Neodiprion lecontei: one gene and its partner. The protein of the gene in region 1 interacts with the protein of each later gene in a pairwise test. Links are inferred from orthologs where the notes say so. Each region holds a gene or a part of one and is shown on either strand. Other genes may lie near its edges.

Region 1 (3,926 bases):
TTATTGGTTAATTTTCACAATGACATGTATCTAGACCAGTTAGATAATCCTCGATAGAGAATTTCATCGGAGCGACTTTGATCTACATTGCTAAATAAACGATTCTTCACGGTTATATGATATCTATTTCTAAAAATTTTTAAGGAGCGCCAAGAATGTTGCCAGGCAAAAGCACACTCTGCCTGAGTTGCCCTACGACTACAGGGCACTGGAACCAGTCATCTGTGCAGAAATCATGGAGCTTCATCACAGTAAACATCATGCAACGTATGTAAACAATTTGAACATTGCTGAGGAAAAATTGAAGGAAGCTGTGAGTAAGGGTGACGTCAATACTGAGATTGCATTGGCACCTGCGATTAAGTTCAATGGCGGTGGACATTTGAATCATTCCATCTTTTGGAACAATTTGTCGCCCAATGGTGGGAAACCAGATGGTTAGTTATATTTGAAATTCTCAGTTGGATTTATGACTCAATGTTTTATTGATTTTTCTCAAGTATGACGAGAAAAATGGTTGATTATCAATTATGGGTATTCCAATTTTTTCCTGAGGGTGCTAATCAATGCCAGGTATATTTTCTTGATGCATTTTGTTCAGGTGCTCTCCTCAAGCAAATTGAAAAGGATTTCTCCAGTCTGGAAGAACTGAAGAAACGACTTTCGGAGGCCACTGTCGCCGTTCAAGGTTCTGGCTGGGGCTGGCTTGGGTACAACGCTAAAGATAAAAGGTTACAGATTGCAGCCTGCGCTAATCAAGATCCTCTGCAAGCCACAACAGGACTTGTGCCACTGTTTGGTATCGATGTTTGGGAACACGCATATTATCTCCAGTACAAGAATGTCAGACCAGAGTATGTCAAGGCGATATGGGACATTGCAAATTGGAATGATATCAATGACCGCTTCAAGAAAGCAGCTGGATGTTAGATGTACTGCCCCAAGCATTTATAGTTTCTAGAAAGTCACTAGAGACTCAAGACGATTGAGTACTGTCTTTGAAATTAAATATCAATATCTCACTTTATTACACAATCGAAATACTCCGGATATTTTATTCAGTGTAAATTACTTTATACATAAAATTATATTCTATTCAAAAATTAATTCTGCGTAAAAAACTTCCACCTGTCCTACAACGTTAGATGACTTGATATTCTCATCTTTTAGTATAAAATGTACAAGAATCGAACCGTTGGCTGATTACAGATGTTACCAACATGATATACCTTTTTGACAAATTAGTTTGGTAAATATTACTCCTGTATTTCTCAATATTTGAACAAAATTACGTCGCGTGACAAAAACGTATCGGCGCTTCATAGATATCGATCGCGCGCGCAGAAACGAAGGAACGCCGGAATTCGAACCACTTGATAGTATGGCTGCTCGACCTCAGCTGTTTTCGGATCTTCTTCGGCCTATCTGGTAAGTCAAGAGGTTACTTTCGCATAATGATAATTTCCATATTATTCAAAGTTTTCCAACACAATCGTCATTTCTTCGGTGTCGTTTTATCAGCTGCACAGCTCCTCACGCTGCATCAATCAACTTCATATCAATAACTATGCATGCGAAGTTTGCATACAAAGTACTGTCAACACTTTGACAGTTTATTTATTTACACCCACTCATACTCACGCGCGATGCGCGTTGTTTTTATATTGCCGATTCATTATTCATCTTCGCGAATTCTAAATTCGTATTTCAGACAGTATTTACGCGACTTCTTTATTTCTTTGTACGGTTCATGTCATGCATCGATTCATGCGTAATTGTACTTTTGAATCTTAGCCAGAACAATGGGAGTCTTGAATTGATCTCATTAATAGCTCGGTGAAATTTTTTTCACAATTTTTTACCGCCGCTACAATACAATACGATCAGGACGCAACACCTCCGCGAATTTGCAGCTTAGAGGCTTTGTCGCAGTAACTGATGAGCTTATTTAGAGCGTACGTCGAACCAATTAATCGAACCTTACAATTCACCTCCGAAAGTTTATCCATGTCTGTAAATATGCGAAACCACATCGTCTTCCATTTACATACGGAATTCTGTGTTTACTTATTCTTTTCTTCAAATTAACAGAAAAGTGAAAAATCCATCGACGTAAAACACACGAGCTGAAAATATATCCCCCGCAAAATGCGACAGGGGTTATTTCATCTCGTCGCGGATAGATCCTCTCCCAATTTGTGGTATAACAAAAAGTTGCTGGTTTCGATATGTGTGACAAAGTTATCACCGGATAACAATCATTGATTCCTGGGTTGGATGGCGCCGTGCGACCTGAAGCGTCGCGACGCCCCGCAAAACACGAGCCTGTTAGCTCTTCGATATCCACCCTTTCAATTGCACATGCAATAGATCTGGTTTGGTTCGTTATCGCTGCGCGTCACTCGATAATTCTCCGATCATCAACAGTCGCTGCGATCTCCCTGCATGCAATGAAACTTTTCTGCCTCCCAGTTTTACCCGATCGTATTTAAACGGGAAATTCGAATACGGCCGAGACTGCAGATGCTCCGAATTCCTGAGGGCTACTTGCAAGTTCTCACCCTCGGTGAATTTAATTAAAAGGCAGTCAATCACTTGAAATTCTTTTAATTTTCCCCGTCACGAAACGTGAAGAATAAAGTAGCTATACTTGAAGGGCGATTGTCAGGTTTTCCAATGTTCAATTTTACGGAATGTTATTAGGCAGGCAGATGACATCGATTATTGAGTCAAAGTGCAAAAACTGAAACTCGTAACGCAGTTGAAAGAGTTGTTTTTCAACGTATGTCACACTGCAATGCAAAATGAGAGGGAGAAATATACGGAGAAGGATTGTATATAGCTACGTTCGGTCTTACTGACGAGCTTCTGGCAAAACGAGTCACATTCGACCGTCCACTTTTACTGTAAATCTCTTCAGCATCCACCCGCGTTTTAAAACTGCGCGACATACATTTCCGACGCTACGCACACCTGAGCTGAGCTTCCGAGGTGAGCGCGGGAATCGTATTAGCTAAGCTGCGGAGAGAAAACTTGGCTTGTATGCAGAGGCTGATGAAGTTATTAATTTATCAAAGGCCACCAGCTCTACATCGAGTGGGAATTTTATACGAGAATTTCACGTCCGTCAAGGCCCTCCAGAATTCTGTACTTTTATTCGCAAAAACTCACGGGCTTGCATGTTATACATATAAATACTTCAATGCCAGAAGAGATGTCTCGCTTTTCGATCCCTTTGTCTCGTGCGGTATGAGTGATTTTTTTATTTTTCTTTTTTAGAATGCATCTCACATTCAGCTCGCTCTTTGATTTCTTTTTACCCATTCTCTGTATGTGCTCGTTTTAATGAGTTTCGAGATTAACCGCAGCTGGTGTACCTAAGCAATATGCAGTTTATCGGGATTACCGTTCGTAAATTGCGTCCTCGCATAGTATTCCTGAAAATTCTTTACCTGTACGGTGGTTTATTCCATTTTAAGACCCGAAATTAAAATACGCGTGCTTATACGCAGGTATACTAGACGTATAAGCCGTATACCTGAGCGAGTGCGCTAAAGTGGATACAAAACTTTTTTTGCACGATGGAAAAATCTGTATAGCACTTTGCTACGCAATCGTGCATGAAAATAAATCCCATGGAGAGAGCTGGGGTAGTGAGGGAAAAAAGCTCTCCACACCCCACAGATTGACAATGTCGGAGATTGAAATGTGTCTGAAAGAATAAAACTTATACCATGTTTTGCAATACTTCAAGTGAAAATGAGGTTAACTATAGATGCAGGTCCCTTTCTTCACTTTTTGGATTCAAGCAAAATACTCTTCTACGTTTATTACAACGTCCATAATTTTTTGTCGGTAACCGATTGCTAGTTTCGTTTAAAAATTGATCTTAAATCGTGTTTCCAACTGTTGTCCTCTCTGGGTAT
Region 2 (3,926 bases), on another chromosome or scaffold:
AATCGTCGAAAATCGTGATAACCTGAGACTCAGACGCGGTAGAAAGTCGACGGCAAGGTCACGAAAGTCGAGTGAGTTGGCCGGTTATTCAATATTTTGACAGATGTTCAAACTAACCTTCACTAGAGACGTTTGTTGTTGCTTTTTTAAGCCTCGCGTGGTTGCCCGATGGAGAATTGGCGAAGTCGTTCAGCGTGACGTCTGAAATATCAATTTTTTTCTCTTTAAGAATGGCTAAGGATTTCGATGAGGAAGCTTTCGGTGGTGGAAAATATCCTCGGGAAGATCTGTGTATATTGCATCATCCACAAAGTACTGGAATTATTATTCTAACCTCCCAAGCTCTTCTTGTTGTACTGATGCGAAGTCAGCTTTCGCCTTGCCGCCTTACGTGATCCCGGCATCTCGCTAAATAATAATATTTGCACTTTTCTATAAAACAAATTCTATGCATCTTGTTACCGAATGAAAAACAACAAAATAATCTATTAATCTTCTCAGAAACCAACCACCACTATCGTCAGCCATGTTGGACTGCGGACAGCCAGAAAAAACGTCGACTGAAGGTCGGGTTTGCCTTTCGCGCTTCAAAAGCTCTCTTACCAACTCGCGGTCATTTTTTTCTACCGAAAACCGTCGTCGTTGCGTGCAATGATTCCCAATATCCGTCATTCCTGCATAATCTATCTTCCGAAGTTACTCGCGAACAAACGAATATGCTGCGTGTGTTCTAAATACTCACATATTCGATATCTACAAATCAACGTATCATCAAATTTTGAATACTTTTTGAATACAGCCTGATTTAACCGAGTGAAGTGAAGTTGGCCGCGTACAAACAGCGCTCAGGTAGCCAAGTCGATAAGTAGTTCGAAAAGCAGCCACTCGTGGCGCGACAGTCCGACGGCGCATCTACGATCCTTGTGCTCCCGGGCGAGTGAAATCTGACGTGTGACGTCATACAGCAAGATGGCCGCGGGTGTCGAAAATGGAGTAGTGTAGGCCATTGGGTGGTAGGAATTTGTAGGTGTGTCAAGAGAGTCTAGTTTATTCGTCCGAGTTATAATGTCGCTAAGATGCCGGTGCATTGATACGTGGGTTTCGGCGTTCGGCTGCAAGCGGTTGTCGGCGTGGGGCGCGGGCACCGCGTCGAGCTAATACATCATTTCAATAATAATACGGGGGGGAGTATTTCGTATCCTGGTTATCGAGTGATTACACACGAACACTGTAAGCGAGAGAGAGCGAGAGAGGGAGAGAGAGAACCAGAGAGTAATAAAGAGATCGGGATTCATAGAGAGAGAAAGAAAGAGAGAGACGGACGCTCGCAGTCGGTCCTGCGGGATAAAACGTCGGAGGATATTCACCCTCGGCAGGCGAAAAACGGGGGCGTGTATGTGCGGTTTTTGGGCGAAGGGCGGATACTTCGGAAAGGGATTAGATCGTGACAGTGGGTGTTAAGTGTGTACCGTGGGTGGTGTCTGTGTGTGTGCGACTGTGTGCGTGTCCGTGTTGACTAAAAAATGTGGAACATGATGTGCGACGTGATGCCGACGATATCGGAAGACAGCATCAGTCAGCGGAGTTCCCAGTTCTCGGGCGAGGATGCGAACTTCGAACAGCTGATGGTGTCGATGCTCGACGAGCGCGACAAGCTGATGGACTCGCTCAGGGAGAGCCAAGAGCGACTCCAGGAGGCCGAGGCTCGTCTCCAGGAGGTTGAGAAGGAGCGCGACGCCCTCAACCGACAGATAAACGCGAACATTCCCCAGGTGAGAAAAGGTCCGGGGCGAATTAGCGCCGATCGATCGATCCCGGGAAGTCGAGAAACTCGCCGCGAGAAGACCCAGCGATATTCGCCCTCTTCTCTTCTCGAGTCCGCAGCCTAGTGCCCGGGTCTTTGCCCCCCTCCCTCAAACAGCTTCTCTATCTCTCTCTGTCTCTTTTTTTTTTTTTTTATATATCCCCCTTTTCTTTTTTCCGCCTTTTCCTCGCCTCCCTCTCGCTACCGCGCCGGTGGCGACCTCGAAATGCGAGATATTTCGAGGCTTATTGATTGCCGCCCGCCGGCGGGACACCCTCGCGCCATTTTCCGACTTTGGATGAATTACTGCTGCTGATTTTGTTGTTGTTGTTGTTGTTGTTCCGATCCTGTCGGATCTCCCTAAATTTTTAACGATCACGAGCGGCGAACTACCGAGCGAGATCACCCTGAAGCTGGCAGCGAACTGCGCTGGACTTCTTTTGTTTTTCACTCCCGATTAATCAGAGTACCAACTTCAATGATCTGTGTATTTTATGCCCGAAATTTTTTCATTGACATGCGACACAGTTTCGTTTCTTAGGCTTATCTGATTTTCTTTCTTCTTCTTTCGACGTCAATTTTTATCGATGGCTTCGTAGATTCGCGGGATCAGACTCTTTGATCTCGATTTCGAACGAACGGATTTGGTGATTTCCGCTTGCTTAACGTCAATCTCGAGTCATTTTTTTCCACTATGATTTCTGTCTTGTTATGCGGTTTTCCTTGATTTCTGTACTACGGCAAACGGTTTCTAATTCGTGTTTACAATTTTACTACCGATTTCTGCTGAATGATTTTACAACGTCTTGGTGATGTTCAGTGATTTATACGTTGTGTTAGGTAGAACAACGGGGAATTGTTAAACAATCACAGAAAATCATTGCAGAAATGAGAGGAGTAATGTTATAAATTGATCAAGATCAGTTGACGAGTTGAAAATCAACGTAAAATCACAGGCTAAAGCAGAAATCGCGTCAAATTGAAGTTGGCAACGTTATCGTAACGATTCGTGCTGAGGAAAGAAAAACGTTACGTCGCGATTTTGCAATTTTCTGAAATTCAGTAAACCGTAATGAAACACACTCGTTTTTTGAAATCTTGGTCCCTTAAAAATGGTGTAAAATGAAAAAATTGCGATGTTTTCCCCAATGTTTCGTTACGATAATAACGTTACTAAACTTCAACCTCGTGAAATCGCTCGTAATCACTAAAAACAAGAGAACATAAGACAGAAATCATATATTTGAAATTGTCGTAAATACATTTGAAGTTGAATCATACATAGACGATAAAAAATTTTATGAGCCTGTTGTGATATTCTTTCGAGATGATTTTTGTCTCTCGATATTACACAATTCCTTAATATATTCGAACTTATGTCTATTTAGAAAATTAATAATTTTTCCTATTAGATTTATCGTTCCTAAAACTCGAGATAGATTTTTACCAATCATCATTTTACCCCGTTACTATCACTACGTATAAACAGAAACTATAATCATTTAACGGTCGACTGTCGTTTTCTGTTTGCAATATTCTTCCCCTCTTGATTAATGCAGGGAACATGCAGCGAACATGTGCGCAAACATTTTTATCAAAGAAAACGTATAAAATAAATCACAAATAAACTCTCAAGCCGTCCGTCGATGATGATAAAGACTCGGGAATTCGCGACGATGTTTCACGACAAACGTGTTGTCTCGTTGCACGGTTTTACTTTTCATTCCCGATATGACCCAGAGTCGCCCCTCGATTTGATCAGCCTGAAGTTTGTAACATTATTGCAATGCTGGATATTTGGAAACAGTAGTCATTTTACAATTTTAAAATTACTTGAAATTTAGTAAACCGTTAATACAGAATCAAGGAACTCAGATTTTGTAAAGTCAAATTCTTCTTCAGGTATTCCAAAGATCCAAAATAGTAATTTTTTTTCTCAACATTTCCATACATCATTAACGTTACTAACTTCAGCCTCGTTCTTTTTATCCATTCACAACTAGCGCAAGGAATGCTGCTTTAAACAACAAAAAGAAAAAAAAAACAGCGATCTTCAAATTTATCTTCCAACTTCCCGATTCTCATGCATTATTATAATTCATTTACCTGCATAGATTGTCAA

What was found.
Region 2: the proteins of kinesin-like protein unc-104 (region 1) and liprin-alpha-1 interact in binary tests that used the Caenorhabditis elegans proteins (3 or more experiments, as listed by UniProt). The link is inferred for Neodiprion lecontei from reciprocal best matches to the Caenorhabditis elegans genes unc-104 and syd-2.

Annotation. Positions count from the first base shown.
Region 1 is NC_060260.1:31,939,303-31,943,228, reverse strand, and holds the start of kinesin-like protein unc-104, read left to right. Parts: upstream 1-1,357; 5' UTR 1,358-1,428; intron 1,429-3,926. Other genes in the region: superoxide dismutase [Mn], mitochondrial, read left to right, coding at 145-437, 602-930. UniProt on the Caenorhabditis elegans protein: Motor protein involved in microtubule-associated anterograde transport. Regulates the transport of synaptic vesicle precursors in the axon of DA motor neurons. Regulates the polarized sorting of axonal proteins.
Region 2 is NC_060262.1:1,949,118-1,953,043, forward strand, and holds the start of liprin-alpha-1, read left to right. Parts: upstream 1-862; 5' UTR 863-1,523; coding exon 1,524-1,772; intron 1,773-3,926. Other genes in the region: transmembrane protein 183, read right to left, coding at 118-201, 335-404. UniProt on the Caenorhabditis elegans protein: May play a role in regulating the structure of the neuronal region, called the active zone, from which synaptic vesicles send neurotransmitter signals across the synapse. This may be in association with the liprin-beta protein hlb-1.